Linked DNA regions of Danio rerio. The protein of the gene in region 1 interacts with the protein of each later gene in a pairwise test. Links are inferred from orthologs where the notes say so. Each region holds a gene or a part of one and is shown on either strand. Other genes may lie near its edges. The genes, in order: prmt1, spegb, btg1 and daxx.

What was found.
Region 2: the proteins of prmt1 (region 1) and spegb interact in binary tests that used the Homo sapiens proteins (3 or more experiments, as listed by UniProt). The two-hybrid records come from large-scale screens. The link is inferred for Danio rerio from reciprocal best matches to the Homo sapiens genes PRMT1 and SPEG.
Region 3: the proteins of prmt1 (region 1) and btg1 interact in a two-hybrid assay, tested with the Homo sapiens proteins (2 studies listed by BioGRID). The link is inferred for Danio rerio from reciprocal best matches to the Homo sapiens genes PRMT1 and BTG1.
Region 4: the proteins of prmt1 (region 1) and daxx interact in a two-hybrid assay, tested with the Homo sapiens proteins (2 studies listed by BioGRID and IntAct). The link is inferred for Danio rerio from reciprocal best matches to the Homo sapiens genes PRMT1 and DAXX.

The regions. Positions count from the first base shown.
Region 1 is NC_133178.1:31,169,630-31,178,471, reverse strand, and holds the start of prmt1 (protein arginine N-methyltransferase 1), read left to right. Parts: upstream 1-3,688; 5' UTR 3,689-3,779; coding exon 3,780-3,806; intron 3,807-4,785; coding exon 4,786-4,881; intron 4,882-4,972; coding exon 4,973-5,128; intron 5,129-5,260; coding exon 5,261-5,324; intron 5,325-5,697; coding exon 5,698-5,840; intron 5,841-5,946; coding exon 5,947-6,034; intron 6,035-6,126; coding exon 6,127-6,242; intron 6,243-6,328; coding exon 6,329-6,479; intron 6,480-6,584; coding exon 6,585-6,706; intron 6,707-8,618; coding exon 8,619-8,702; 3' UTR 8,703-8,842. UniProt on the Homo sapiens protein: Arginine methyltransferase that methylates (mono and asymmetric dimethylation) the guanidino nitrogens of arginyl residues present in proteins such as ESR1, histone H2, H3 and H4, FMR1, ILF3, HNRNPA1, HNRNPD, NFATC2IP, SUPT5H, TAF15, EWS, HABP4, SERBP1, RBM15, FOXO1, CHTOP, MAP3K5/ASK1, MICU1 and NPRL2.
Region 2 is NC_133184.1:43,384,491-43,392,629, forward strand, and holds part of spegb (striated muscle preferentially expressed protein kinase), read left to right. Parts: intron 1-53; coding exon 54-80; intron 81-1,589; coding exon 1,590-1,742; intron 1,743-1,868; coding exon 1,869-1,911; intron 1,912-2,112; coding exon 2,113-2,181; intron 2,182-2,270; coding exon 2,271-4,881; intron 4,882-4,958; coding exon 4,959-5,108; intron 5,109-5,301; coding exon 5,302-5,418; intron 5,419-6,770; coding exon 6,771-6,938; intron 6,939-8,139.
Region 3 is NC_133179.1:17,122,770-17,129,600, reverse strand, and holds the end of btg1 (protein BTG1), read left to right. Parts: intron 1-2,727; coding exon 2,728-3,131; 3' UTR 3,132-3,853; downstream 3,854-6,831. UniProt on the Homo sapiens protein: Anti-proliferative protein.
Region 4 is NC_133194.1:8,075,814-8,083,952, reverse strand, and holds part of daxx (death domain-associated protein 6), read left to right. Parts: 5' UTR 1-7; coding exon of another isoform or gene 8-31; coding exon 32-253; intron 254-1,836; coding exon 1,837-2,211; intron 2,212-2,753; coding exon 2,754-2,885; intron 2,886-4,023; coding exon 4,024-4,140; intron 4,141-5,214; coding exon 5,215-5,446; intron 5,447-7,756; coding exon 7,757-7,926; intron 7,927-8,139. UniProt on the Homo sapiens protein: Transcription corepressor known to repress transcriptional potential of several sumoylated transcription factors. Down-regulates basal and activated transcription.

The DNA.
Region 1 (8,842 bases):
CGCCACTGATCTGACTGGCATGATTCACCCCGGCTAGAAAGCACAGCGAAGCAATGCAGAACAGAGCAGTTTGATTCAGCGTAGGGCGTATGTAGGAAGAGCTGAACACAGATGTTTGCGTTAGAAAATGACTAATGGTGTTTGAGTGTGACAGGGGCACTTACAGTTCCTGATGTCCGAAATGAACACCGCTAATCCTCGCATTCCGTCTCCTTTCGACACAGCCGGCATGTTTGCAGGGTTCTTCTCTCCAAGCCGGCTTCAAGACGAAATAAATGACTTTCAGATGTTCAGAGGTGCAGGTTTGACTGGCGCTGGGTGAGTTCGCCGAGCTAGTGAGCTAACTATCACGAACTCAAACACTAGCAGCAATTTAGCCTTGAATTGAATTTGAAACGCTCGTTAAACACAAAAATAACACCGCGAGATTATTCAGGGGTAAAAGAAGTGAGTGCTGTGAGAGAGAGAGAAGCTGGGGAGTCGGCGCGACTGGGGTTTCCGTTGGCTAACGTTAATTCATTCAATCCCGTGAACTCTCTTCAATGGGAAAGCGATGCGAGGCATAAACTTACGTTGCGACACGAGCTAATTTAAAAAACAAGCCAACGTGTTGATTTAACTGACGGGTACGCACCTAAATGTCGATGGTGCTAAAATATCAATTGATACCTCTCTGACTTTGAGTCACGCACGGCAAGCTAGCCAAACAGCTAGCGAGCTGGGCTAGCTCTATCAAATGTTAGAATACATCACCCAAAGGACCGCGATAGGACAACGGGGAATCCTGCTTCTTGACGAACTAATCTGACAAGCCTGTTTCTCGACAGAAAGGTGAATATTGGCTATAATTAGTCGTCAATTATGTACGAGACTTTTCGTTCGGTCGGTGTTCCCGGACGGAGCTCGTGACAGAACGGCCACCGAGCTCGCTCTTGCGCTTCCTCCACACAAGTCCCGCCTCCTGCTTGTTTCTCTTCATTTAATTGGCTAGTTACACTTTTGTCTCTGTCATTCGCTACTTGATTTGTCCGCTTATACATCAATTAAAATTGATAACTATTCTAATTGGCTTGAAAACAAGATCGGCACTGTTGAAAGTATCAAAGTGCAAGTATGTGGGAATGGTGATAAGTTGGCAAAATAGAGGTTGTAAATGGCACTAATTCCATCTGACGATTGCTGTTCCTATATTTATTTGCAATAGTGTGCAATTTAATGTGTGAAAGGAGAGAAATTACTTTTTCTGCTTAACAGAACTGTTTGGGAAAATATCTAATTGCGATTTGTCTGACAGAGATTGCAATATGATTTCTAATTTAATTATGTGAAGTAAAGCTTTAGCTCAGTATTGTCAACAGTATGCAGCACTCACTTGTCCAATGATCTAAACTAATTAAATCTTACAGTTTTTGAGGCATTTTCTAAATCTCTTTAATTAAATTTAGCATTTAAGGCAATATCAAATATGTTTATTGTGGACAATGGTGGCCAATTCAGTTAGGTACCCACTGCAGTATAAATAAATAAATTAAAAAGATAAAATATGTTGAATATATTATTAATAAAATTACACATTTGATTTGTTTACAGCATTCGTTGCAAATATGTTTGTTTTTTTCAACAAAGTAAGCTATATTTGATGATGCATAACCATCTTGTACATGGTAAATAAATATATTTTCTTTTTGTATGGTCTCTGTTACAATTCACCAGGAACTGAACAATGTTATATAATGTAAACTTTGATTTATAGGAACTATTCATCAAAGAAAAAGTGTCACCATTTGCTCACACTGGTGTTCTTTAAAAATTGTTTGCCATGATACATAAATACAAGATCATATTCTCAAGAATGTTGTCCAAACAATATTATTTCCTGTTAAGTATGAAAAATGAAAAAATTACCAAACTAACTTTTTTTTCTCATAGAAGATGTAACAAGGAGGACATTGGTCTTAATCTGAGCTAAATCCCATAGTATGATAATGTACAAACATCCATTTTCTCCAGATGTTGTTTTGTAAATAATCATTATTGTCTCCTATTTTATCAATGCCTTCTTTTTTTTAGAAATGTGCTTACTTTGCAAACTTTGCTTACTTTGTATAATTATAACCATATAGTTTATTTTGTGAACAAAACACATGACTAAAGGATGGTTTCCTAAAAAGATTTTGTAAGCTTTTCTATTAGCTTGACAAAAGTCCAACTAATAAAATTTACATGAAAACAATGAAACCATAATTCATTCATTCTCCTTCATCTTAGTCCCTTTATTCATCAGGGGACGCCACAGCAGAATGAACCGCCAACTTATCCAACATATGTTTTATACAGCGGATGCCCTTCCAGCTGCAACCTAGTACCAGGAAACATCCATACACACTCATTCACACTCATACACTACACCAATTTAATTTATTCAATCCACCTATAACACATGGCTTTGGTCTATGGGGGAAACCGGAACACCAGGAGGAAACCAACGCCAACACAGGGAGAACATGCAAGCTTCACACAGAAATGCCAACTGACCCAGCTGGGGCTCAAACCAGCGACCTTCTTACTGTGAGACGACAGTGCTAACCACTAAGCCACTGTGTTCCATAAACAGAAATAAAATGGAATACAGAAACTTGTGCAAAATAAAATATTTTTTCATATTTATTGTACAACATATAGATACATTTGGTACATAACATTTACAATAATAATTATATTATTTACAATGGTACCAATAAAGAAACAACACAAGAACAAAAAACAACAGAAATCAAAACAAAGAAATATGATATCAATAGGTTATCTAATCTGAGAATAGATGCAACAGATAATGAAATTGAAAATAAAAAGGGCAAAATAAAAAAGATAACAAAGATTGGGATATTTAATAGATTACACATGTTGTGCAAATTGTTTACGTTTTGAGTGCATTCTTGTTAAGTGAATCTGGAATTGTAAGTAAATTTTGATCTCTTGTATAAAATACACAAGTGGATTTTATATTTGAAAATTTTATTTATAAATATAAAATATAGGCAGGGCGAAGCAGTGGCGCAGTAGGTAGTGCTGTCGCCTCACAGCAAGAAGGTTGCTGGGTCGCTGGTTCGAGCCTTGGCTCAGTTGGCGTTTCTGTGTGGAGTTTGCATGTTCTCCCTGCGTTTGCGTGGGTTTCCTCCGGGTGCTCCGGTTTCCCCCAGAGTCTAAAGACATGCGGTGCAGGTGAATTGGGTAGGCTAAATTGTCCATAGTGTGTGAGTGCGTGTGTGAATGCATGTGTGGATGTTTCCCAGAGATGGGTTGCAGCTGGAAGGGCATTTGCTGCGTAAAAACTTGCTGGATAAGTTGGCGGTTCATTCCGTTGTGGCGACCCCGGATTAATAAAGGGACTAAGCAGAAGGAAAACGAATAAATGAATATAAAATTTACATAAAAATAGAATAGGGTTTATTGTGAAGCAGACATTAAATTTGTATCTACAACCCAAAATAATAAATGTTGGATTCACAGTAAAATTCTGTAAAATAATATTTGAGATAAAATAAATAAATAATAATCATGTTACAGTTTGGACCAATGACAGTCACGCATCAAAAGAGCGGAAAAACGCATAGTAGAAAAGCCTATGACGAAGAGCCGCAGGAAAGTGGGTGTGGTTATTGTAAAACCACGTGATTGTCACCCAATCAAATCATACAGTCACAGCAAAGAGGCGGGAGCAAAACAAGTGTGTTTTACATGAGCTTTGCTGCAGTCGCGGCTGTGTCCAGTTTATCGAAATGGCGGAGACGGCAGACAGAATGGAGGTAAGCTGAAGCTACTCAAGGCCGGTTCGCCAAAAACGCTTCTGATGCTAAATATCTCGTAACCGTATCAGAATCGACACGGCGATTTTATTTACGTCACACGCCGGTTCCGAATCTTTGGTCTGTGAACAGATTTGATTGCTGCGTATGTAGTTATCAGGTGGCTAGAAATGTGCGCACACGCATCTTGAGCATCCATTTTAGCCTGCCGCAGATAATTCATTCATTTCGCATCACGTGTATGCTAGTGCTAATGTGCTAAATTTGAGCTAGCTTCGAGTTTTTAGTTGTTGAGTGTAACCACAGATGAATTTTGAGATTAAATGTATGAATATTTCTGTCATGTTAGCTACCGTTAGCTCGCTGTTCAGTTTCCACGTGAGCACGCTGGCGGAGGACTTCAATGACTTATTGTTGGGCAGAGACCGCATGGGACTGATGGATAGGAGCTAACGTTACGCTTTTTTTTCCTCTCTGCTAATCACAGTGATTGGGTTTTTTAATAAAACATCCTGTATTGTTTACTATGATCTAGTACTTGCGTCGTGACTAAGTTTTCTTTTAGACCACTTTTCCTCAAATGTGTATAATTAAAAAGTAGAAAAATTTAAGCTTAAGAGGACTCTTCAAAGGTTAACGTTAGGCGTGTGAAGATAAAATATGACTTTTTTTGCTTAACTATCCATTTTAAAAAAAAATGTGTAAAATGGTTCATTGCCTGCTGTGATATTTGCCAAAAGTTGGAACTAAATTCAGAGGAAGCCACCGACTTTATGTAGTTCTGTGTAAAAACACTGTTTACTCAGGGTTATTTACACTTGGCATGTTTGGTTTAAACATGTTTTGGGTCATCTCTTGACTAGTACCTTATTGCTTGCTTGTTTGTTTTAATATACTGAAGATACTGCAAATGTTTGAGAAAAGCCCAGCTCATGACTTTACTTGCTTATTTACATTTTTCTTATCTATTGAAATTGAGGTGTCCCAGGGAGAGAGCTCAGCGAAACCTGCAGCTGAAGACATGACGTCCAAAGACTATTACTTTGATTCCTATGCACACTTTGGCATTCATGAGGTACTTTCTTGTTAGTTCATTAATCTCAGCATTAGTGGTGAAGTCAATTTAATTTATTTATAATTAATGTAAACCCATTGAATCTTCACAGGAGATGCTAAAAGATGAAGTTCGTACTTTGACGTACAGAAACTCCATGTTTCACAACAAGCATCTCTTCAAAGATAAAGTTGTGCTGGATGTGGGAAGTGGTACTGGCATCCTCTGTATGTTTGCAGCCAAAGCTGGAGCCAAGAAAGTTATTGGGGTGAGAAGTAGTCCCATGATTTATTTAAAGCATTTTTGTTACATTTAAGCCATTTATTTGTATGTGGTATTATTTGATCATGCTGTGTATTGTCAGATTAATTTATTAATTTGTTGGTCATTTATTCCTTAGATTGAGTGCAGCAGTATATCAGACTATGCTGTGAAGATTGTGAAGGCCAACAAGCTGGATCATAGTAAGGCCTTCTCAGAGCTTTTGGCATCTTCATTGTTAACTTATTTTCTCAGCATGTTTCAAGGGATAGTTCACCCAAAAATGAAGTTTTACTCCCTCTCAAGTGGTTCTAAACCTATCAGTTTCTTTTTTTCCTGTTGAACACCAAAGAAGATATTTTGAAGAAAGCTGTAAACTGGTAACCGTAGTGACAGGTTTGCATCTTTCTTCAAAATATCATCTTTTGTGTTCAACAGAAGAAAATCACAGGTTTAGAATGAGTGAGGGGAGGTTAAACAATGACCATTTTCAGTTTTGGATTAACAGTTTTGGCCTATACCCATTTTATTCTTTATGTACCTAAAATTTTTAACCATGTACTTTTTCCTGTCCAGTCGTCACTATAATTAAGGGCAAAGTGGAGGAGGTCGAGCTTCCTGTGGAAAATGTAGACATAATCATCTCTGAGTGGATGGGCTACTGTCTCTTCTATGAATCCATGCTTAACACCGTCATTTATGCCAGGGACAAATGGCTGGTGGGTGTATGCTAATGTCTTTTACCATGTTGAAACTGTTCAGTATAAAATCGTATGTGCTTTCTTGATTTAATCACTGTTCACGTTTTCCATTGTTGGCTTTCAGAAACCTGATGGCCTGATTTTTCCTGACAGAGCCACCCTCTATGTCACTGCTATCGAGGATCGGCAGTACAAGGATTACAAAATCCACTGTACGCATCAATCTCTTAATGCACTCTTGAGTCTGTTCAGCTTTCTTTAAAGCAGTAACTCATTTAATTGTTTCATATTTGCACTTTTTTAGGGTGGGAGAACGTGTATGGATTTGACATGTCCTGTATTAAGGAAGTGGCCATTACAGAGCCGCTGGTGGATGTTGTTGATCCCAAACAGCTTGTTAGCACTGCTTGCTTAATTAAGGTTTGTTTGCAACCTTTTATTTTCCAATGTTCACATAATCCCTGCTTTCCTCATTTAATATTCAATACGTTTTCTTGATTCCTTAGGAGGTGGACATCTACACCGTGAAGATTGAGGACCTGTCCTTCACGTCACCTTTCTGCCTGCAGGTGAAAAGAAACGACTACATTCATGCTCTGGTAACCTACTTCAACATAGAGTTCACTCGCTGCCACAAGAGGACAGGCTTCTCTACCAGTAAGTGCTGTGTGTGGTGTTCACCACAAAATCACTTTGTATTCACCACGAGTTTATTGTATTGAAGGATGGTTGAACCCTGTTTAAAGTGAGTTTTGCTTGCAGGCCCAGAGTCTCCTTACACTCACTGGAAGCAGACTGTGTTCTACCTTGATGACTATCTGACAGTAAAGACTGGAGAGGAGATCTTTGGCACTATCAGCATGAAGCCCAACGTCAAGAATAATGTGAGCCTTGTGTGCACGTCTTACTTTTAGCACCTTTAGTGAAAGTGTAGGGATGGTCATATATATCTTGTTACCATTTTAATGGGTTGATTTCTGTATTAAATTGAACATTTTTCCAGTTTCTAATTTATGAAGTCTAAAAGCTCTTCATTTGGAAATTATATTGTAAAATTACAACTTAATCACTTCTAAACGTTTTCACTTTCTTTAATATTAATTAGGGGTGTTAACCTACACTGGTCTCACGGTTCGGTAACGATTATCATGCCATCGATTCAGTTTAATTCGATATCTCAGTGCAAAATGAGTTTTTTTTTTTTTCTCCCAACACTATTTTTTTTTTTATTAAAATCTGAAAATATATTAATATTTATATATTATTTGTAACACAATTTTGTCCTTTAATACAAGAAGTAAGATATATGAACTGTACCTTTAATTTGACCTGCTCAAAGAAAACACTCTTTTTCAAGGTATCAAACAAAACTCCCAATACATACACAGAAGACAACATGAGCATTTTTAGGCAATAAACTTATGGAAATATTATCCCACTTGCTTTGAGCGTTGTTGAGTGAGGTCTTGCCTCTATGACTGGTTATTGTCTTCACCCGTTTGACAGAAACAGCTGTGATTGGCTTTAGACATAAAAGTGCTGTTCACTGATGAGTGACACGGGAAGAACAGCCATGGTTACAGTCTATATGTGCATAATATGCAGTTATCAAAGGTAATCCACAGTGGAGAAAACTCGCACCACAGGGAGGTTCGTGTCTGGATCCACAAGTATCGCTTTACCAGCCAAGAGAAGGGGAAAAGTTAACTCATGAACAGGCCAGCGGGTCAAATATACAAAAGTGAGGGAGGGAGGGAGGGAGGGAGGGAGAGAGAGAGGCAGAGATGGCTTTTTACAGCATTTCTCCTTAGTAGTATAATAGCGGCTCATGTGCTGTGTCTTCTTCAGTCAGTCTCAATGAAAGCCTTTCCAGTAAACTCACAAGCAGTTGAACTGCAAAATTATCTACCTTTTCAGTAGTAGGAGCGTTTTATTTACTTGCCCTCTCCTACTTCGCCATAGTATTCTACTGCGACATCGTGCATAGGAGATAAATGACATCAGTATCCAATAGTTTTTTGACACCCCTAATATAATAATAACTTTAATATCGGCCAAATGTTATTTGCAGAAAAGTTAATATATTTAGACATGCATCTCTTGACTAGCCAATTTTTTTTGCAGGATCATGTACACTCTGCCTGCCTGCACTCCAGATTCAGTGCAGCCCTAACATTTTTAATAGTTCCTCCCCCAAAAATGTTTTGTTGCTGAAGTAAAATTTTCTGCTATACAAGTCATTAATGCTTTCAGAGAGAGGATTTTTTTAAATTATTATTTATTTTCCAAATTATCAGCATTTGCTTTTAAAATGTCTTAAAATATGTCATGTCTAAAAATAATAATATAATAGTACTAAAAAAAAAGCATGCATTAAAGCATATAATCCTTGGACTTCTGTAAAATAAGAAACTAGGCAAAAGTTAGTTACAGTGGAAAATTGCACATGTTGGTTTGGGTTAAACAGTAATGTAATTTAATAACGCAAATGAAAAATACATGGATTCTATACAGTTTGTATATTCTGATTTATATATTCAAATTAATTTGATATTCTATAGTAATGTTGGAAAATTCAGCAAAAAAACAGTATTATTGGCTAGTCACACTTACCCAAAAAAAGTCTAAATCAGCCACGAAAATTGCTATCGGTACATCTGTAAATTTTGTCTTCATTTTAAATGAAGCTTGTACTAGAAGTTGTCAATGTTGCTGCAACTCTATTGATTTTCAAAACTGTTCACACTCTTATAATTATTACAATTTAAACATGTACTTTTTTTCCTCCCCCTACAGAGAGACCTGGACTTTACTGTCGACATTGACTTCAAGGGTCAACTTTGTGAGGTGTCCAAGACATCAGAGTACAGAATGCGCTAGTTTCCATTAGCATCAGTGCACATGTGTGGAGCAAATCAAGAGAGCAGTGTATGCCTGTGTGTTAAACCATGACCCTTTGTTCCATGACTGCGCAGTTTTAGAGATCTTGTTTTGCAGAATGTTGTCTGACATGGAGGATT
Region 2 (8,139 bases), on another chromosome or scaffold:
CATGAATACATTAATGTCCTTCACACAATTCAACTGTTTCTTTGTTCTTACAGGCCCATTGGTGTTCTGACATACTTATGGTAGGGAAGTGTCCATATTATATTATATTATATTATATTATATTATATTATATTATATTATATTATATTATATTATATTATATTATATTATATTATATATTTGTTCTGTTACTTTATTTAAAATAAAATGTATAAAACAGTTCTATTTGTATTCAGTATTACAGGAGTTTCTCTAATAACCACCCAGAACACCATAGCAACACCATAGAAACCATCGAGCGGTCACTCAGAATATCCTACCAACACCTTAGCAGCCACTCAGAACACCATAGCAACACCTTAGCAACCACTCAGAACACCATAGCAACATTTTAACAACCCATCAGAACACCTTAGCAACCACGTAGAGCCCCTAGCAACCACCTAGCAATGCCTTAGCAACCACTCAGAACACCTTAACAACCGCCTAGCAACCACTCAGAACACAATAGCAACTGCCTATTAACACCTTAGCAACCGCCTAGCAATCACTCAGAACACCTAAACAACTGTCTAGCAGTCACTCAGAACACCCTAGCAACACCTTAGCAACCACTCAGGACACCCTAGCAACCACCTAGCAAACCCTTGGCAACCATATTAAACACCCTAGCAACACCTTAGCAACAACCTATAATGCCTAAACAACTGCCTAGAAACCATTTAGAACACCTTAGCAACCACAAAGCAACATCTTAGCAATAACCACATAAAACACCCCAGCAACGCTTTAGCAACCACTCAGAACACCTTAACAACACCCTAGCAACACCTTAGCAACCACCTAGAGCATCATAGCAACCATCTAGCAATGCCTGAGCAACCATTCAGAAAAACCTAGCAACCACCTAGCAATGCCTTAGTAACTACTCAGAACACCATAACAACCACCCAGCAACACCTTAGCAATGACCTAGAATGCCTTAGTAACCGCCTAGCAGCCACTCAGAACACCTTAGCAACCACTAAGCAACATCTTAGCAACCATATAAAACACCCTAGCAACACCTTAGCAACACTTAGAACACCCTAGAAACCACATAGCAACCACTCAGAACACCTTAGCAAAACCTTAACAATGACCTGGAACACCCTAGCAACCACCTAGCAATGCCTTAGCAACCCCTCAGAACACCTTAGCTACCGCTTAGCAACCAGTCAAACACCCTAGCAATGCCTTAGCAACCGCCTAGCAAGAAATATTCCAATCCATGCTAGAAACATGCTAGCTTACATGTACTTATCTATCTGTGTCAACTGTTTCAAATGTCTTTGAAACTTTGAAACTACTTTAAACTTTCAGACTAGAGTTTTTCAATCCACTATAAAAATTGTTTACGAACTTATTATATTATATTATATTATATTATATTATATTATATTATATTATATTATATTATATTATATTATATTATATTATATTATGTTATGTTATGTTATATTATATTATATTATATTATATTATATTATATTATCATTTATTCTGCCACTTGATTTAATTTAAGATGTACAAAACTGATCTCTTTTCAGTCTTACTGGAGTTTCTCCTTTTGCTGGGGAAAACGACCGCAGCTCTGTTCTCAACATCAGGAATTATAATGTGGCTTTTGAAGAAAGCATGTTTACAGACCTCTGCCATGAAGCCAAGGGATTCGTCATCAAGCTGCTGGTGGCTGATAGATTGTAAGTGGAATCAACGGTTCTTATCTGCTTCACCACGCTCCTGTCGATAATTTATTGTCAAGAAAATGATTTTCACTGCTAAAAGCACTTTGTGTTAACTGGTAATTTGTTTAATGTTATCTGCAGGAGGCCTGATGCTAATGAATGTCTTCGCCACCCCTGGTTCAAGGTAAAGGCATAGTGAAGGAGTAAAGAGGAATGTGCCCTTGTAGGAACACTTCACTTTTTTTGGAAAGAGGCTCATTTTACAAGTCATCTAGCATTAAACTGTTGTATCTATTAAAATCTTGCTGTTCATTTATGCTGTAAACAATTTTAAACCATGAAATTACACCCTATAGCTTAATTGTTTCGCCTTTTATTGTTTTAGACCCTCAACAAGGGTAAAAGCATCAGTACAGAGTCCCTTAAAAAGTTTTTGTCCAGAAGAAAATGGCAGGTAAGATAATATTTGACTTTTTTAGTGTCTAGAACATTACAAATACTTTGTGTTATTTAATTGTAACAATGTTAACATATCTCTCTTAGCGATCGCTTATCAGCTACAAATCTAAAATGGTGATGAGGTCTGTACCTGAGCTACTGGATGACTCCTCCAGCCATATTTCCATTGCTGTTCCGCGACATCTGAAAAAAGGCTCACCACCACTTTCATCATCTTCAGATTCAGATGAAGACATCGATGAGTTGCCTTTTATTCCCATGCCACTCAACGTGGAATTCTCAGGATCTAGAATGTCACTGACCGAAATTGTAGGTGATGATGACATGACAGGTAAATTGAATGGAAATGCTGAGAGGCCTGCTTCACTCCATCCGAAGTCCGAGCCAATGGAAGTGGAGATGTCAGAGAGAGAAGGTGGAGATCCATCTGCTAGGGGTAGAGCCAAGAAGAGGACTACAACAGAAGATGAAAAAGGGTCGTCTGATGAGGAACCATCACAACTGGCCAAAAGAGCAGAACTGGCAAAGAGACCAATGCGCAGAGGTTCAAGCATGGAGTCAGATGAGCCAGAGGGAGGACGTCGCAGAGGAGAGTTACGCAGAGGGAGTTCGGCTGACAGTGCCTTACAGCTCCATATCAAACCAGAGGAGGGCACAGAAGAAAGTCCTACTGATGGAAGTAGAATTCTACAAAAGTCTGTATCTATGGAGCTTCCAAGGAGAAGCCCAAGTCCAGGTGCTGCAAAGCTTAGCCAGGAAGACTATGCTCTGAAACTGGAACTGATGAGGCAGCGACTACTCAGGGGTGGCTCTGCTGACAACAAGATGAGTGGATTACGAGGCCCATTGCTGGAGACACTAGGTATGGGAGATGAGAAGCGGTTTGTGCGGGGATCTCGTCTAGGTAACCCTCCACTTGTTAGAGCGGCATCTAGTGAGTCACCTAGAGATGACATCCCAAAGACAAAGATTCTCCGCAAGAGTGCTTCCTTTAGCCAGGGGGATTCAGAGCCCATGCCCCTGCACAGAAGAATCGGAGCACCTCTAGAGATTCCTCTAGCACAAATAGAGGAGAGACGCCTACAGGAAGCAATATCCATGTCTGCTCTCACAGAGCCTGTCAAAGATTCTCGCCCAATCACTCCAAAACTTCAAATGCCTGAAGAAGAAAGACATGAAAAGAAGAAAACTGAAGAAAAAGAATCTGTCTACAAGGACAATAAACCTGAAGAGGTTATTGCTGTGTCAAAGACTGAGGAAGAAGGAAGACGTGTTGATCAGAAATCTTGGGATTCTGATGCACAGAAAAAGGACCAGAGCAAGTCAGAGGAAACCAGGGAAGAGTCTGAAAAAGTGGCTGAAATTGAAAAAAAGACCTCTATAGTGGACGAAACAATTGAGGAAGAGGAAACAAGAAAAGATGAGGAGCCAGAGAAAGAAACTGAGCCTCCTACTCCAAAGATTGAGGTTAAGGAATATGAGGGTGATGTAAAGGTATTACCAAAGTCTCCAGAGTTTATCATTTCCACAAACTCAATCATGGTGACCCCAACAGCTGCCCCAGCATCCAGTCCCCAGAGTGTATCAACCTATGTTACCCCATCTCCCCCTGCACGCACAGTGCTCCCAGATGGTAGGATGTCCGCATATGCCAGTATTATGCAGACTATCATGGTACCATCTGTCCCAGCAAATACCCAATCTGACACTGTTCCTATTCCTACACCAACTTCCACTCCACCATCAGTTCCAGTCTATGCACCCATTTCCAGACACATCTCAGAACCAACCCTTTCATCAACTTCTTCATCCAAATCAGATCTTCACCAAACAACTGAGCATCCTGCAGTCTTTTCTCGGGTTGCCTCCACTGAACACCCTCCCAAAGAGCCAAGTCCTCCTAAGACACCCACTCGCGCCTCCCCTAAGCGAGAGCCATCTCCTGGAAGCAACATCCAGGACCTTGCATCCGAGGAGGTTTTTGAAGCTCGCTTCAAGAAACGTGAGTCTTCTCTAACTCGTAGTCTCAAACGTTTCTCATTTCAGAAGACTGAAGACAAGCCCTCCACTGTTTCTCCTGAAACTGCTGAAGAAATGTATCGCCCTGGACCAACTGGTGCTCCTTTAGAGTTTGTGCCAAGGAGGTTGGAGGAGAAGTCCAAATCAGTACAAGATCTTCGAGAGGCAGAGAAGGACCCTGGGTTCATGAGGCGACTCTCCATGCGCTTGAAAAGGACCCCATCAGTGGAAAAGCAGGAGGAGAAGCTCAAAGAGGAGGAGGCTTCAGCACCCAGGCGTCGTCTTTCTTGGGCACTGGGACGGAGGGGATCCCAAGAGAAGAAGGAGATTGAGATGATGAGGTTGGATGGGGGTCCTGAGCCTCCCCCAGAGCCTGAGTCTAAAGCACCTTCTGAGTCACCTATTCTTGCCATGCGCAAGAAGATTGGCAGCACCATGGCAAGCTTATCTACAAGAATTAGGAGCCATTCTGAGGACAGGAAAGATGACAGTGAAGGCAAGATGGAGACCAAGAGGACTCCTATATTCAACAAACTAAGGCGTTCCACTTCTGAGGGGGGCAGTCTGAAGAGAATGGGTATCCCACAAAACCAACTGGCTGCTCAGTCAGGGCAAGGGACCTCATCAGAATCTCTTGATTCTATGTCAAGCATCCAGTCAGAATCAGCTATTAAAAGTATGCAATTTTTCATTCATTGCTTTATTTTGTTGTCAGTTCTTCTAATTTTAAAGGGCATTAAATGTCTTTTCCAGATGCAGAACTTGACCGCAGATCACGGTGGGACCGATGGGGCTTGACTCGAGGGAAAAAGGACAAGACAGTTTCCCAACCAGACATCCCAGCTTCCATTGCTAGAGAGAATGGTTCTCTACGGTCTCGCCAATATACACGTCTAACATCTGGTACTGCACATTTTACTTGTATATTTCACTGTAACTTTGCAGAAATAGAGAAATCTGTTTGAATACTTGCTGCTTTGTCATAAACCTAAAATAATCATTGAGTCAATTATGAATATGTACTTGCTTTGGCACAGCAGTGAAAGATACATGATGCTTGTCTCACGGTTTTTTTAATCATTCAATCAAAAAATAGACTTCCCTCCGGTGTTCCATATCAAACTGAGGGACCATGTACTCTTGGAGGGAGATCCTGTCACTCTCAGCTGCCTCCCTGCTGGCAGTCCTCACCCACACATCTCATGGATGAAAGGTCTGATTGAATTTTTAATATTAGCTTCTGTTGTACTAAAGATAATATAATCTGGCCTAAATTGAAAGCAATGTCCATAGAGACTGATCTAATAAAATTGCAAGTGTGCCGTCTCTTTTATATAGATTTGTTTCACTATATTGGCTTTGTGTTATTTTATTTATATTAATTAATTTTCAGTAAATTACAATAGACTATCTAAGGCAATAATTGAGTAGTTTGAAAGTTTTATATAATGCATAATATACTTTTAGCTTGACATCATGCCAAAATAAACTGACACAGTTTCCAGGATTTGGCTGTGATAAACCATTTTAAAATCAAAATACTGATACAATTTAAATGAAAAAAAAAAACACTTAGCAAAAACTTAGTTCTGATATATTTACCATAGTAAATGTACAAAACATCTTAATGGATCATGATCTTTATAATATTAATTTTGAGAATTTTGACACCTACAATGTTTTTGACTATGTCCAAAAATATATATGTGCAACTTAAGGTCCAAGGTTACATATTATAGATAAACAGATTTGTGGATATGATATCATGTAAGTTTAAATGATCTTTTAATTCATTCATTTAAGAATTAAAGTTATTCTTTAATAATGCCCGCTTTGATACATTAATTGTTGTGCTGAAATAACCAAAGCTATTTATTTTTATATTATTAATACAAAAGTCTCTTTTCACCTCAAAGTTAATATCAGTAATGCCACCAAAGTCTAAAATGTAAACAAGCAGCAGAACAAGCAGCTTGTAGAGATTTATATTTCGTAAAAGCCACAGTTAAAGTCACAAATATTAGCTGAGCTGAATTATTAGCCTCCCTGTTTATTTGTTTCCCTAATTTCTGTTTAATGAAGAGAAGATTTTTTTTCAACCCACTTCTAAACTTAATGTGTTTAATAACTCATTTCTAATAACTGATTTATATTATATTTGCCATAATGGCAGTAAATAATATTTTACTAGATATTTTCAAGACACTTTTATACAGCTTAATGTGACAATTAAAGGCTTAACTAGATTAATTAGGTTAACTAGGCAGATTAGGGTAATTAGGCAAGTTATTGTATAACGATAGTTTGTTCTGTAGACTATCAAAAAAAAAAAAAGATAGTTTAAAGGGGCTAATCATTTTGACCTTAAGTTAAAAAAAGAAGAACTGCTTTTATTCTAGCCGAAATAAAACAAATTAGACATACTGTGAAAATGTCCTTGCTCTGCTAAACATAATTTGCAACATATTTAATAAAGGAAAAAAAATTCAAAGGGGGCAAATAATTTTGACCTCAACTGTACTTTACACAACTAACATTCTCAATTGAAATGTTGTGTATTCTCAGACAAGAAGCCACTTGAGATTGACCCCAGGATGAATATGATATCTTGCCCCGATGGGAGACAACTGCTGATGATTATGAAGACCACCAAGAAGGATGCAGGCCTCTATGAATGTGTGGCTGCAAACCCACTGGCCACAGTCACCAGCTCATGCGTTGTGTCCCTCGCTCGTAAGTCCAACACAAGAAAAAGACCAAGCCAAAGCAAATTAGTCCAGCTGATCTAACTAAATAGCTAACTGGTAACTTTATATTCTGCTGGGGAAAGCTTTAGTGTATAACTTGTAGCAAATCTAGAGGGCTGATCATTTCTGTCGTAGTCTTTTATGCATTGCATATACTGTAGAAGTCCGATATAAGGAGATACATGCAAATTGATAAATAAGTTTATATTTGGATTTCACATGTACAAAATCATAAAGCATATTTCATATATTTCAATATATTGCAAAAATGGCAGTTTACATATATATGTTTTCAACCATTGGAATTACAAATGCGTAATAAATATTTAAATATACAGTGCTCAGCATAAGTGAGGACACCCCATTTTGAAAATGGGAGTATTTTTGTCCATTTCTCAGTGCATTTGAACAAAACAGATTTACTATAAGGTTGTGTCATCGTCATCAAAGCAGACAACCTGCTTTATTCCGGATGTCTTTCAGGGATGTAATTGTTGACCTACTTTGGCTGCTGTGTATATAACATAACGATATTGTGTCATTTAATACAGCTGCAGGACGCACATTAGTTATTATTCTCTGCAAATCATCTGTCCCTATGTCTTCTTTAATTCAGTGCTACAGCCTAGCACCTCAAATTTAATAACTGAAAGTGTCATAAGTTTAGATGATATTACAGATTTATAAAAATATATTTTATAAATAAATAAAACTATAAAAAAAGGGACTAAGCAAAGGGAAAGTAAAATTTTTAAGGTTTATTATTATTATTATTATTATTATTATTATTATTATTATTAATTAATTAAGTATATTAGGCTACTACTGGTTGAAATTGTTGACTGACTACTAGTTATCACACTGGAATAAAGAGTCGACTATAAATTACAGGGAAAGTTATATTCAGTGGACACAAGATATAAATAATAATACTAATAATAACAACAACAATAATAACAACAATAATAATAATAATAATAAGATTTTAATAATATAATAATAATAATAAGAGTTAGTGTTGACATCTAGCAGCGGTGTGTAGATCTGACCCAACATTGAGGTACAAAGTATAAACCTATCAAAAAAATAATGCTGGATTACCACACCTGCTATCTAACTCGCTTTGCAAAAACGATATAACAGTCACTTGTGGTATACTGTGTTGCAGTGTGCGTGTCTTTAAAAAA
Region 3 (6,831 bases), on another chromosome or scaffold:
ACATCTTTTTAGACTCTCACTCCATCTTTTACTGCATAACCAGGCCGAACTATCAGAGTGCAGACTTAGTACTTGATTATGGGTTCAGCATTATTAATATTTGAGTTGATTTGAGTTCTTTTAATACATTGCATATACAGTGCTCGACATAATTGAGAACACCCCATTTTGAAAATCAATTTCTCAGTCAATATGAGTAATATATGTTGGTGCATTAGAACAAAACAGATTTATTAAACATATATTTATTAAAATAATATTTTAGTCACCAAAAATATTTAAAAAAATTAAAGATAATACTATTAAATCCAATCAAATAATTGCTAAAAAATTACATTCTACAAAATTTCAACTAAATATTTCAATTTCTTTTGCTTCTCTTTGTATTTAATATTTTTCAATAACATATAAATTTGGGCTACTATTTTTTGAACCATTATTGTGACTTTTTTTGTTAGATTAGCTCCTGATTTTGGTTTAGTACTGACTAAACTAATGTAAGTGCACAAATATAAAACTGTAAAGCAGGGGTCTCAAGCTCAAACATGCCATTTCAGTGAATGACAATTTATAGTAGGGCCGTTTTAACATTAAAGCACAAGAAAATGATGATGTTTACATTTCAGCCATTACCTGTCACCAGTGATAATGCGAATCAGCATGTTTATTGTTTTACACAGCTGCATCTGTGGCTGATTAAATTAGCATTTTGACATTTAAATAGTCATAATAATGTTAATAATAAATATTTTTATTCTGTCCCAACTAATTGGTGCTTCACCAAAAATTTAACAGATAGCGGAAGAGCGGCAGAAACAATTTGGGTAACTATACTGACTTTACTGGCAATTGTTCTAATTAGTATTTTTCTTTTTTGTACAACTACAACAGAGAGGGAAAAAGTAAGTACATATTCTCATTTACTTTAACATGTTCAGTTCAACTAGCAGTAAAATGTACATAGTTTTCATAGAAATCTCAATACGCAATATGAGGAAAATCTATTAAATAAGACCATTTGAATCAAATATTAGCAAAATTAGCATTTTTGTTACACCACCAGCATAAAGTGTAAGCCATGAAAAAGTGTTTGTTCAGTAAAATACAGGTTGAAAATAATCAAACAACCCTTTAATATTTACAAAAGTAGTGTTAGTAAAAATAGAGCACTTATGCACAAATTTCAATATTTAAATCAGCCTTTAGAAATAATATGCATGTGGGTTACTCTCAACCGCACGCTGAAAAAAAAGGAAAGTAAAACTGAAATACAGTATATTACACTGCAGTACTTTAAATGTCCAATAGATATTCTTAAATTCTGCACCTTTACAGTATTTTTAGTTTTTTAAGAGTGCTGAATTTAAAAATTATTAAACATTAAAATGACATAAAACTTAGGAATAAAGTGTGCAAATGTTTGTTAATAAGTCTAAAATTTAGCTAATAAAACTTTTTTTAAATTTTATTTTAGTTAAGGTAAGGATAATAAAAAAGATGTTATTCTTATTAAACTTAGGAATCCATAATAGTACGTTAACAAATCCATTTGTGCCAATATTAGAAATATTACTTTGAGATTAAAATGATCAGAGTTTTATTAACAGATCCACCTAATTTTAGATTTTTGCTTGCTTAACATAAAATAATAGTGTTCTTACCATTGGCTAGGGCATGATCTTATTGTTTGACCAGACATGTACGTGTGCATGTATGCATTAATATATGTGCACCCTCAACTAAACTGATAAACATTAAAAAAACATGAAGGGCTGCACAATTCTGGCTGAAGTGAGAATAACTATTTTTGTTCCCCCAGGGTTCTGTAGATGTAAAATTAAAATTAATACGAGTAGGCTATTAATATGTTATTTAATAAACATGGTAAAACAACAATATTAATATTAGGCCTATTTGTGTAGTGCTAAAAATGCTACATTTTGTACAGACTTGGAATCGTGTAGACTTAAATAGACTTAAATTTGTCCTGGTCGTAAAATGTGACACGATCATGTAAATGATGTGCGCGGTTTTGGTTTCACTTTCACTGCCAAGTGCGCTACTGTCATGGCTGCTGTCACTCAGAGAAAAAAACATACATGCATGTTATTCATGTGAATAACAGGTAATAAAGTTGTAAATTACTTTCAGTTTGTTGCACAGAGCAATCGTTTGGGAGCTGCACAGGGGCTCCCGAACGATTGCTCTGTGCAACAAACTGAAGATAATTTACAACTTTATTACCTGTTATTCACAGCTTATGCCAGGTCTGTTCACTAAAGAAGACATAATTCCCGTGCGTGCATCCTCGTGTGATTTCGCAGCCACGAAAACATCATTATATTATGACAGAAATTACATTTTTGGGTGAATTATACCTTATAAATACAGTATGTGACACTTTTAATACCATTTGGAGGTGCTCATGTTGCTGAGCAACTTATATAAAACAATGTGACGACTTGTGAGGCCGCCTTTACACTTCTCCAGAAGTTGAAAATATAATTAGCTGAATCGTAGAGATGCTGGATTAAGATTGTGTGGGGGGTCGAATTGAGATCGCAATCTTTTTCTGATTAATTGTGCAGCTCTAACATGAATTACTGTTTAATAAATAAACATTGTAATCTTTTGCATTGCGATATTTGCTTTCTTTGCTTTTTCTTTTTTATTAATACTTCATATATCGACGATTACATAACGACCTCCTCCATTTCTCTCTTACAGAGCAATACAAACACCACTGGTTCCCAGACCGTCCAAACAAGGGTTCTGGGTATCGCTGCATACGTATCAACCACAAGATGGACCCTCTGGTTGGACAGGCTGGTCAGCGCATCGGGCTGAGCATTCAGCAGCTATACCTGTTGCTTCCCAGCGAGCTCACATTGTGGGTCGACCCATTTGAAGTGTCATACCGCATCGGAGAGGACGGCTCCATCTGCGTGCTCTACGAATCCCATCCCGGCACCAACGGAAACCCCAGCACCACCACTGGAAACAGCATCCCCGCCTCATCTGTCACCCAGGTATCGGCCATGGTGGAAAGTCACATCAGCTGCAAGGAGGAACTACTGGTTTTGGGTCGTACCAGCCCAGCTAAACCCTACATGATGACTGTGTCCAGCTAAACGGGTCACAGAAGTCATTTTTAAGAAATAAAAAAGAGAGAAAGGAGAAGAAGAAGAAAAAAAAAACAGGATGTGTCCTATCGTCCAGGTGATGGAAACCTTGTAGGTTTATTTTTCACTCGTTTTGGTTGTCTGTTCTGTTATTGTGTTGGATCTACCAGAGGCTTGACCCTGGGGCAGCTAATGAAGACCTAAAACACCGCCCGGCCCCCCAGCTCACAGAGACTGACCCACTCCCACGGCAGTGGTCATTGGGGGGGAGGGCGTTTCTGCCATCATCTGCCGATGTTGACTTTGCACTTTCGCTTTCACGGTTTATGTTATTGCATAAACACAAACTCCCTCTAAAATGTTAAGGAATTATGCTCCATTATGTTTCATCATGCCCTTTTTCTCCGTTTGCTGTCGAGCTGAGGCCCAAACACTGGGAGCCTGTGCCAGACCCTAGTGCCGCTCTGAGCCTCATTTTTCTAAAAACCTCACTTTTTTGGACCACAAAGCGGTACTTTTGTCTCTTCTTGGTGTCTGGTAGGGCTTCTTTTGGGCTTCAGGTCGACATGAACCGGTTTCAAGCCGCCTCCATCCTGTACACTGCCTCTGTGGAATATCTGTGTCATACTGTTACCCACGCTAGCCGTCGATGGCACTGTGATGCAAAGGTTCTCATGCTTGTAGCTTTTCTAGGGGCTCCCTCCTGGATGAATGTAATTTCTAACAAAAAAGAGAAGAAAAAAAAAAGAAAAACCCAACAACGACGACACATTTGATTTATTTAAGCCCCTCGTCATGCCAAAATGAAAAATGTAGCAAGGTTTGTTTTTGTTTTTCTTGACTTGGAGCAGACGTGGTCTTTACTTTCTGCCTCCTTTAGAAAGGATGTTGAATGCACTTTGACATTTTAGACTGTGTGGGATGACGTTTTCGATTCGACCCAACTGCATTCCATCGCATACCTCTTTATTCAGTTGTCGTAAATCGTTATCTCTGCTTGCGCTCTTTATGGAGCGACGTGGTTGCAATATTTGTGAAGGTGAGAGAGACATTTCAATCCCAGGTTATTCTCTCTTGCCATTTTTAATGACTGATTCATGTTAGAGATTAGGACTCCATTTAATGGCCAGTATGTGGCTAACAGACCGGCAAGAAACGGCGTCGACAAATGGACCAGTATTCCTATCTCCTCGCAGAATCGCAGAAGCCCCAGTGGTGCTTGCTTGTTACAGATGGTCTCCCGACGCACTTTCCAGCCAGGCGTCACCGGTCTCAGTCTTAACTAGGAGTGCGCGGTCAAAACATATCACCTCCCTCTATTGGCTGGCCGAAGAAGGGGGTAGGACCCTCAGATCAGGGCAGCTACAATCCTCTCCGGCCCCCTTCTCGCAGCCTGGAGGAGAGTATTTATGCCAGCACGCACACACCAAGTGCACTCCAAACCAAACTGAGCCTTACATAAAGAGCCGAGTCGGGATGAGAAGAGAGATACATGGGGTGCTCCTGGTTTCTGGACGATTCTGTTTACATTGGGTGGAAATAAGCGGGTTGCAGGCTTTGCGTGCGTGCGTGTATGTGTGTGCGACATATTGCTCTTGCCTTAGCCGCTAACTGCCGAGACAAGGTGCTGATTATCAGTCCTTTGTGTGTTAATACTTTTGACGTTAGAGGACCATGGGTAACGCCGGGTTATCGATGCACTGCCGTCCCTTTCTTTCTTGCTTTGGTCCAGTCACTTTAATAGAGAGATGGAAAGTCTATTTAAAAAAAAAAACGTATGACTAGAACGCCATCGCCATCCCACCTTTCTGAATGCTTTAAACTCTGAAAGGCGCCCCTCCCCCCACACTTTGCCTGTTGGTTTTAATGTTAAAGCTCTTAAACCACATTCTGGTGATCTCAACCAAATTGGAACAGACAATTCGAGTGCTTTTTTTTATTTTTATTTTAGATCTACTACAAACTACTTTGCCCCCCCACCTCCACCGAAAATAACATCAGCAAACCGTTTCAACTCTCCGCTTCAGTTCGGTAATTGTTTGCACACTAGTTTTAAGTATCGTTGTGTGAGTCTAAACTCAAGTCTACTTGGAGGCAAGAGCACATGAAATGCACTAATAGGTTAAACATTGAAGTTATGTGACTTTGAGACCACCGTGTCTCGATTGGAATGTATTGCCAAGCTCAGGCCACAGACATTCATTGAAACCCTTATGGATGTGCAGGTTAAGATGTGAAAAACAGAAGGGAATGATTCGGTCGGGAATTTTGTCGGTCATTTCAGAAGTGATTCGCGTTATTGCCACTTTCGCATCTGAGGTGGTTCCATATTTGTAGAATGTATTGTTATTGTACAACATATGGTAGATTAAGTACATAACCATACATATGGGAAGTGCCAATAATTGATATTTTGCTGTGTGTAGACGTGTTCCTTTTTGTATTTCATATTTTAACATGAATTCCTCTTTCATAAGTGAAGCCATTCGTGTTAGGAGTGTTGGAGAGGACCAAAGTTGTTTTGGTAAAAAATATATATATTTATCAGTTTCCATGCTCTGTGCTGATACACTTTCCTCGTTTTTTTTCTTTTCTTTTCTTTCTTTTTAAATTAAAACGAAAAAAAAGAAAAAATTCTGAGCAACCCAAGATAAAGCTGTCTGTATCTTGTGATTTTATTCCCCCCCCCCGTCTGTACATCTCTTGTGTTCATTCTTTTCCTCATTCTTGGGTATGTTGTGATGAACTGCTGTAAATTTGTACAGTTCATGTAAATTGATTGTGCGGAAGTTGTACAGATTTCTATATTTTGGAAGAAAAGTTTTTTTCTCTGTAATAAAAGATTTCCTATCTTGGCAATGTTTTCCAGTGGACTTGGTCTTGTTCTTTATCAAAGCAGGGTTATTTAGGAATATCCGTTTTGATATTTCATCCTTTGTTTGTTTTTGGAAGATATTTAATACAACAGGGTTGGGAGAGTTTTATCTAGGGATGCATGATATATCGGCGGGACATTGCAAGCGGCCGATACACTACTTTTAATGTTATCGCTATGTGTCGATGTCAAAATTACGCCGATATCTTCAAGCCGAAAGATTACGTAATTGTACATAAATGCTTGCCTCACACATCCTTGGGTCGAATTTGTTCAGACTTGTCTAGTGCACTATAACAAAGATTTTTACCTAGGGATGTTATCGTTATCGGTGTGATATCAAAATTTGGCTGACATCTTTAAGCCAAAAGATTAAATAATTGTACTGAACTGCCTGCCTCGCTCCATGCGTGAGTAAAATTTGCCCTATCATTATTGGCCGATAAATGCAATTTTTAATGTTATCGTTATCGGTCTGATATCAAAATTAGGCTGATATCTTTAAGCTGAAAGATTGTGTAATTAGACTGAAATGCCTGCCACGCGGATGCGTGAGTCGAATTTGTTTAGACTTGTTCAGACTTGTCCACTGCACTATAATGAAGATTTTTATCTGGGAATGCATCATAAATCGTCTGCCATATCATTATCGGCCGATAAATGCTATTTTTATTGTGATCGATATCGGTTCGATATCAAAATTAGGTTTATATCTTTAAGGCCATAGATTATGTAATTGTACAGAATTGCCTGCCTCGCACCATGTGTGGGTTGAATTAGTTCAGACTTGTCCAGTGCATTATAACAGAGATTTTTATCCAGGGATGCACAATA
Region 4 (8,139 bases), on another chromosome or scaffold:
TCCTCAGCAAATTCGTTCTCCTCCCTTCCGGATGGCCGGAGCAGGGATGGAAAGCATTGTGATCCTCGATGATGACGATGAAGAAGCAGCTTCCACGTCTGCATCCTGTTCTCAAGCCACAGCGCAACACTTAAAAACACCAGTGAAGAGTCAGCCGGTGCCGGCTCCCACACACATCACACAGTCTCCATTCGCCAGCGCGAAGAAGGACACACACGTGCTGAAAGTGGAGAATGAGAAACTGTTCAATGAGGTATGCTTGTTTACAGTAATTTTTAGATCTGTCACAATAATCTACAGTTGAAGTCAGAATTATTAGCCTCCCTGTTTATTTTTTCCCCATTTTCTGTTTAACAGAGAGATTTTTTTTCAACACATTTTTAATCATAATAATTTTATTAACTAATTTCTAATAACTGATTTATTTTATCTTTGCCATGATGACAGTAAATAATATTTGACTAGATATTTTTTAAGACACTACTATATGGCTTAAAGTGACATTTAAAGGCTTAACTAAGTTGATTAGGATAACTGGGCAGGTTAGAGTAATTAGGCAAGTTTTTGTATAACGATGGTTTGTTCTGTAGACTATCGAAACAAAAATTAGCCTAAAGAGGTTAATAATTTTGTCTTTAAAATGGTGTTTAAAAAATTATGAAACTTTTATTTTAGTCCAAATAAAACAAATAAGACTTTGTTTAGAATAAAAACTGTTGTCAGACATACTGTGAAAATTACTTTGCTCTGTTAAACATCATTTAGGAAATATTTAAAAAAAAAGAAAAAAAAAAATTCAAATGGGGGCTAATAATTCTGACTTCAACTGTATCCACTTATTGCACAACACATGGACATGAGTGTACTTGCATTTGGTGATATTATATTGTCATTCTGGCCTTTTATAATGAGTGGTGTTAATAAGAAATGGTCTTAAAATACAATAATATCATTTATCGCAATATATTTTGACAGCTGAGTTAAATAGTATTTTGAGACCGCATTTTAAATCTTCTAATAGATCTTCAATTGATTTTTATAAACTTTTAATAATATTTTTGATAGATAAACTGTACCAACACCTTAAGACATTTGAGTGTCTGTCTTTTGTACGGAAAATATATTAATTAAAAATCTGAAAATGGTAAAAATGTAGGATAGTCATTATTCTTTGCTCAGAAAAAATAAAACTAACATTGCATGTCTCATTTAATGCTTTAACACAATTCTAATGTAGGAATTATATGATTCTTTTATTATGATGATGCCTAAAATCATAATTTTCTCTTTTTATTTTTATCTCTCTTATTAGGCACCATATAAAACAGTTGCACTTGTCTAGCATACTTTGTTAAATGCATTCTATAAGGTGGTCTGAAATATATGTTTTTGTTTTTAAATGATAAAACAATACCCCAGTATTAAAAAAAAATGTACGCCAGCTGTAAATATAAGGGATAGTTCACCTAAAAATGACATTTACTCAGTATTTACTCACCCTCAAGTAGGGCTGGGCCGATAAATGATATTACCCTAAAGGATTTTAGTCCTTTATCTGTTGAACAATAAAAGAAGACATTCTGACGAATGCTGAAAACCTGTAGCAGTTGACTTCAATAGTAGGAAAACAAATACTATAGAAGTCAATGTTACAGGTTTACAGCATTTCTCAAAATATGTTTGTTTGTGTTTAACAAGAGAAAGAACTTATGAAGATTTAAAAAGAGTAAAGAGTGGGTAAATGATAACAGAAATATTCTTTTTGTTATCCTACTAAAATTTTGTTTATTTTGCCTTCTTTCTTGTCTCGCTTCTACTCCAATCCTGTTCCTCCAGTTTGTGGAGCACTGCTCAAAACACTCGCAAGAACATCCAGAAGTCATGACTTACCTGCAGACCAGATACTCCAAGGCTTTGCCGACCTTTCTGACGTCTGTGGAGTTTCGTAACACTTTGGGCCGCTGCCTCACTCGAGCCCAGGCCAACGCTGGCAAAACCTTCGTCTACATTAATGAACTCTGCACTGTTCTGAAGCAGCACACGCCGCGGAAGAGAAGCTCCATACAGTCGCTTTCTGTCAAGGCCAAACCTGAGGAGAAGAGCAATGGGGTTAATGTTAAAGAGGACACTCAGGGTGAACAAGACGGAGGAAAAGATGTCAAACAGCAGGAAGAGGAGTCAAAGAAAACCAAAAGAGCTTCGAGAAGACAGGTACTGTAAGATAAGTTAACCATATACAGTTGAAGTCGGAGTTATTAGCCCTCCTTTTCCCCTAATTTCTGTTTAACGGAAGGAAGATTTTTTCAACACATTATTTTAACATGATAGAAACTCATCTCTAATAACTGATTTCTTTTGTCTTCGTCATGATGACAGTACCGAACATTTGACTAGATATTTTTCAAGATACTAGTATGCAGCTTAAAGTCACATTTAAAGGTTTAATTAGGGCAAGTTAGGGTAATTAGCCAGGTCATTGTATGACTTGTTGATTGTTCTTCAGACAATCTAAAAAATATATAGCTTAAGAGGATAATAATATTGACCTTTTTAAACTGCTTTTATTCTAGCTAAAATAAAATCAGTCAGACTTTCTCCAGAAGAAAAAATATTATAGGAAATACTGTGAAAAATTCCTTGCTCTGTTAGACATCACTAGGAAAATATTTATAAAAGAAACAAAAAATCACAGGAAAACAAATAAGTGTGTCTATTTTACGGTTACAGTAATTTGTGTGTCTCTCATTTTTCAGATTGCGTATCTGGAAAACCTGTTGAAAGTGTATAATGAGGAGATCCGCCGGCTTCAGGAGGGGGATTTGAGTTTGGATGACTTGGAGAAAGAAGATTCCAGTTATATTCAAGAGCACAAACTTAAACGCAAGGTCAGCTTGTTTATTCCTGATTTTAGTTCTTTCTGTATTTATTTAGCCGGGACAATGCTCAAAGAGAAAAACTTTAAATTAGCCAAAGTTAGTCACAAGAATTTTAGGGCGTACTCACACTATGCTATTCGAACCGTGCCCAGGGTTTCCCGGATCATTTCAGAAGTGTGAGTGCTCTGAATCGGGCTCAGGCACGGTTAAATGTCATATATATATGAGCAAAGTGCACCAGAGGCCGAAACTGAAGATGAGACGTGACTTTTACAAGACTGTTTAATATGGCATTATTATCATTCGTACTGTTCAATGAACACAAACTGTTGTAGATTTTAAAGACGCAAACCCCTCACTGCACGACAGCTGCACCTTCAGCAAACCTCCTAATTCCTGCAGCACGAGGTCTTTATGATTGTTTATGAGCGTCAAAAGTCATGGATCTGTTCGGCGAAATATTTTACTGCGTGTCACCGCATTCTAAATGACTTAAACAATACAACTGATTAAGAAATGTCCACTGTGCTGAGCGAAAGCGCTTACTGAACAGTACAGCATCGATGACGTAAGGGTGCCCAGGCCTGAATGTAATGTGAGTGCGGGCCGTCGGGGGAGACGGAAGGGGGACAAGCGTGCTTTGGCCTGGTTCAAGGCAACTGTACAGTGTGAGTTTGCCCTTAAATTTCATCTGTTGCCTCCTGCCAGGCATATATTCGTTTTCCTTTCGGCTTAGTCCCTTTATTAATGTGGGGTCGGCACAGAGAAATGAACCTCCATTTTATGCAGCATATGTTTTACGCAGTGGATGTGCTTCAAGCTGACCCATCGTTGGAAAACACCCATACACTATTATTCACACACGTACACTACAGACAATTTAGCTTACCCAATGCACCGCTCCAACCTTAAATCAAAAACACATTACTACACATACAATATCAGTAAAATTACTTGCAACAAAAAATTAAAAAATGGCAACATTTTCTTTAAAAAAATTACATGATTACAAACCCCATTCACTTCTGCCATTTTTTTAACTTGTATTCAAAGATTCAGTTAAATCTGTTTTGATGTATAATCTATGAAATCTATAGCAGAAGTTGTGAACGTTCAGAAGTTGTTATAGCTGTTTTTGTGGTGTCAGATGATGAAGATCTATGAGAAGCTGTGTGAGCTGAAAGGCTGTAACACTCTGACGGGTCGAGTGATCGAGCAGAAGATCCCATACAGTGGAACGAGATACCCAGAGATCAACAAGAAGGTGCGGGCTTTTGCTTGGACAGTTTTTTTACTTTATTTTCATACATTAAAGCAATTTAAAAACTAATATCTAGACTCTCTAAAAAGAGGGGAGTTTTAGCTCAGGTTTTAATTAGTTTATAATAAATTCCCTTAAAGCATAGGCTAGAAAATTTGAAATAAATAGAGATTTATGTATGATAGCGATCATTGATCAGATGATTCTTTTTAATACTGTTTTATTTTGTGTGTTTATTTCAAGTAAAACATGATTTATAATATCATTGATTTGTATTTGCTTGAAGATTCATTGTTTTAGGGATCAAAAATGGTTCATAAGTATGGATTGGTTTTCTTTTAGCATCATCAAGTAACGATTGTAGTATTTGCTATAGTTTAAAATGTGTTATTTTTAGATTAACTGCTTTGAATTTAAATTATTATTGATTATGGTCTTTTGTAGTTATTTTTGATGTTATACTTTTATTTATTATAGTTTCCTGGCAGCTAGCAGAAATAAAAGTTTAGTTTTTGTGATGTATTTAAAATTATAAGTTAAGGTTTATTTAATTATTAACTAATTATTTTGGTTTTCATTAACTACTGTAACCTTAATATTTTATAATTCAATAGTGCAGAAATTAGTACATTTACTTAAATTAAATTAAATTAATTCAGTTTAATGGAATATTTATGATTTTAAAATATTTGTTGATTAAATAAATGTGTTATTTTTCGATTATCTGTTTTTAATTTAAGCTTTATTAGTTTGATTATGATATTTTCCTGTTATTTTTTGTTGTTATACTTTTATTTGTATAGTTTCTTTGTAACTTGCAGAAATAAAAATAAGTTTAGTTTTTGTCATATATTTACTTTAATTAAATCAATTATAAATTAATTTAAATGTTTGTGTTATTATATTTGAGAATATTATTTTATTTTATGTTTACATTAAATGCCTCCTGATAAAACTCAAAAATGCTTATTGAACTAGCCTATTCCAGGGGCCTAATATTAATAAATGAATCAATGTTTACCCAAACCTTTTCCTCTCTCATTATCTCTTATTGTTTCTTCTCTTTTTGTTGAGCAGGTTGAGCGTTTCATCAACAGTTCAGAAGCTCTTCTCAATCCTCCAGACTACAGCGATATCCTGAAGATTGTGCAGAGAGCCAACGAACGCTACAATCTCCAGCTCTCCCGCAAACAGCAAGCACAGATCTCCCAAGAAGCCTTCAGAGAGACGGGCAACAAACTACAGGAGAGACGACACCTTGACATGGTCTACAACTTCGGCTCTCATCTCACAGATCCATACAAACCAAGTAAATCAGTTTCATTTAATAACTGTCTAATTCAGAAGGAAAAGCTCATATTGTAATAATCTAATGACTTGAATTTTTGATGATTCAAACTAGGGGTGGGCATTGATTGAGATTCTGATTCATAAGCAATCGATTCAGTAAATGTAGATTTAATCCGTTTTAAAAGTTCTATTGCAGGCATTAAAAGTCGGGGGTTTTTTGTGCAAGTTATGGATTTTTATTTATACGTTTTAAATAGTACTTCCCATTAATCAAAATATAATTAAATTACACTGCTCTTGAGTGAAAAGTAAGGTGTCTGGGTCATGGAAATTTAGCGTTTTAGTAGGTGAAAATCAGAAAAGTCAGGGAATTTGCTAATCAAATCACTTTTATTGTCGCATCATCAGCAGCATGTGTGCTATGATGAGTGAAAAGCTTAGGTGCTGACTCCAGACACGACAAAATACAGATACAGTGCAAATACAACGACAGTGCAAAATACAGACAGTGCAAACACAGTGACAATGTGAAATTGACAGCGATATGTACAATGAATAGGTGTCCACATCGTTGTAGGTAGTTTTGTTTCAAGTATGGATTGGTTAAAGTGCAGTGCATGCTACATTTTGATGGTTTGCTGTAAGGGTTATGGAAGAGTCTGTGTGTGGGTGTGTTAAGTGTTCATCAGCCTGATAGTCTGAGGGAAGAAACTTTCCTTCAGCCGGCTGGTGCATGACCGGATGCTGCATACAGTGGAAATACAAATACTTTAATACAAATGCTATTGATATTTCTAGAAAGTGATCAGGTGCATGTGTATTTTATTTGACTTTTTATCAGATGAATGTGAGAAGGAGTGATAATAATATGAAAAATAGCACAGGGTTTCAAAGACGGTGGCCCCCATTTTATATTCATGCATACACTTAAAAACATGTATGTATAGTGTTTGATATTGATAAAAAATCAATAAATATCATTTCTTAAATATTTAAAATGGTACAATCTTTTTGTACCAACCAACTTTTGGTTGGTTTTGATACCAGCAGGGAAATGAATAATTAATAATAAGACTTTTAACACTTTTGTTTTAAGCAGAATATTAAATGAGATTGTGCTAATTTTGTTGTTTTATATATTTTATATATAGGACTGCTGAGAAAACTTGATATGTGCATAACATGGTTTAGTATTGTTTTTTTTTTGTTGTTTTTTTTACTATGCTGCACAATATTGGAAAAATTACACTTTGATATATTTTGCGATATTAATACTATTTCACTAGATGAGTTGAATAAATGTTTGTAAAGAATCTATAATTTTAGTTTGATTGCAAATGTTCTGTAGGGGAGTGCATAAAATATAATAAACAGTCTACAAGAATGGATAAATTCAATAAAGAAAAATATGCTAATAAATAAACCTTGTTTTATTGTTTTCCGAAGAGTCAAAATATATTCAGGTTAATGGAGAATGAATAATCAAATCTAAAAATATTACTGCATAGTCTTAGTTTTATAAACAGTTAGATCGTTATTGTAATCGTTTTTTATTTTTCAAGGTTACAAACAATACAATTTTTTAGGCCTGAATGCTTTTAAAACCCTCACACAGTCACAGTCCTTAAAAAACACTTGCAAAATGATCAATTATAATCCAGACTCAACATTGCATATCCTGCGATGTGACTATTGCGAACGATCACATTGTGATATCGATGGTTAAACAATATATTGTTACTTCATTTGGATACTTTTAATTTTGCAGAATTTGTTCTCCGCTGTTTCAAATATTGATATTTTTCAAGGTATCGTATCGATGTCGGAAATTCCATTAATGTGGCAACACTAATGTATAAATATTGGTAGATTCAAAATAGTTCAATTAAGTTATTAAATACATGTTAGTAAAGCTAGGAAAAATATGCAGGCAAAGTGTATTAAATGTTTCATTATTTTTATCTTTTCTTTGGTTAATTTTAAAGGCATAAAAATTTAAATTATTAGACTGTGGTCGCTTTAAGACTTTATACATTGATTATGTCTCCTGAATTGCTTCAACTTTAGATTCAAATAATTTTTTTCACATGAATACTAACCAAATTGCCATTTTAATACATAAACCTGTATTTTATGGTCACTCAAGTGTTTGACCGTTTAAATATATATTTTTTATATAGAAAAATGTATTTAGAAAATATTTTACAGCTTTTGAGAATCAATCTCAAATCAACCTCCTATTAAAAATTATTAGTATAAAAATATATATTTTTCAGTTCATCAGTCTGCAGATGGAGTGCAGTTGGTCATGCAATGTGTGTTTCTCCAGCATTAGACCCTGCACTCATGGACCCAGCACTGCATCGTAAACTCCGCTCTAATAGAGACGTGGCCATCAGCAGCCTGGAGGAGGTCATCAACAAATACGCCAATAAACAGGAGGATATGGAAGTGGAGGAAACCAAGAAAAGACAAGACAGAGAAAGACTGAAAAAAGAGGTAAACGAATGAAGCATTTCTTGTTGTTCATATATCCAAAAATCTACAGAAGATTATAAATGTTCATATTTACATTTCTTAGTTTAGTAGACATATTTATCCAAAGCGACTTACTAATGAGGATGAAAAAAACACTTAGCAATGTATAGATGCCATGACAATTCTTAGTTTAGTTTATAGTTATTATTGAGTCCTAGTAATAAAGCTTTTGTA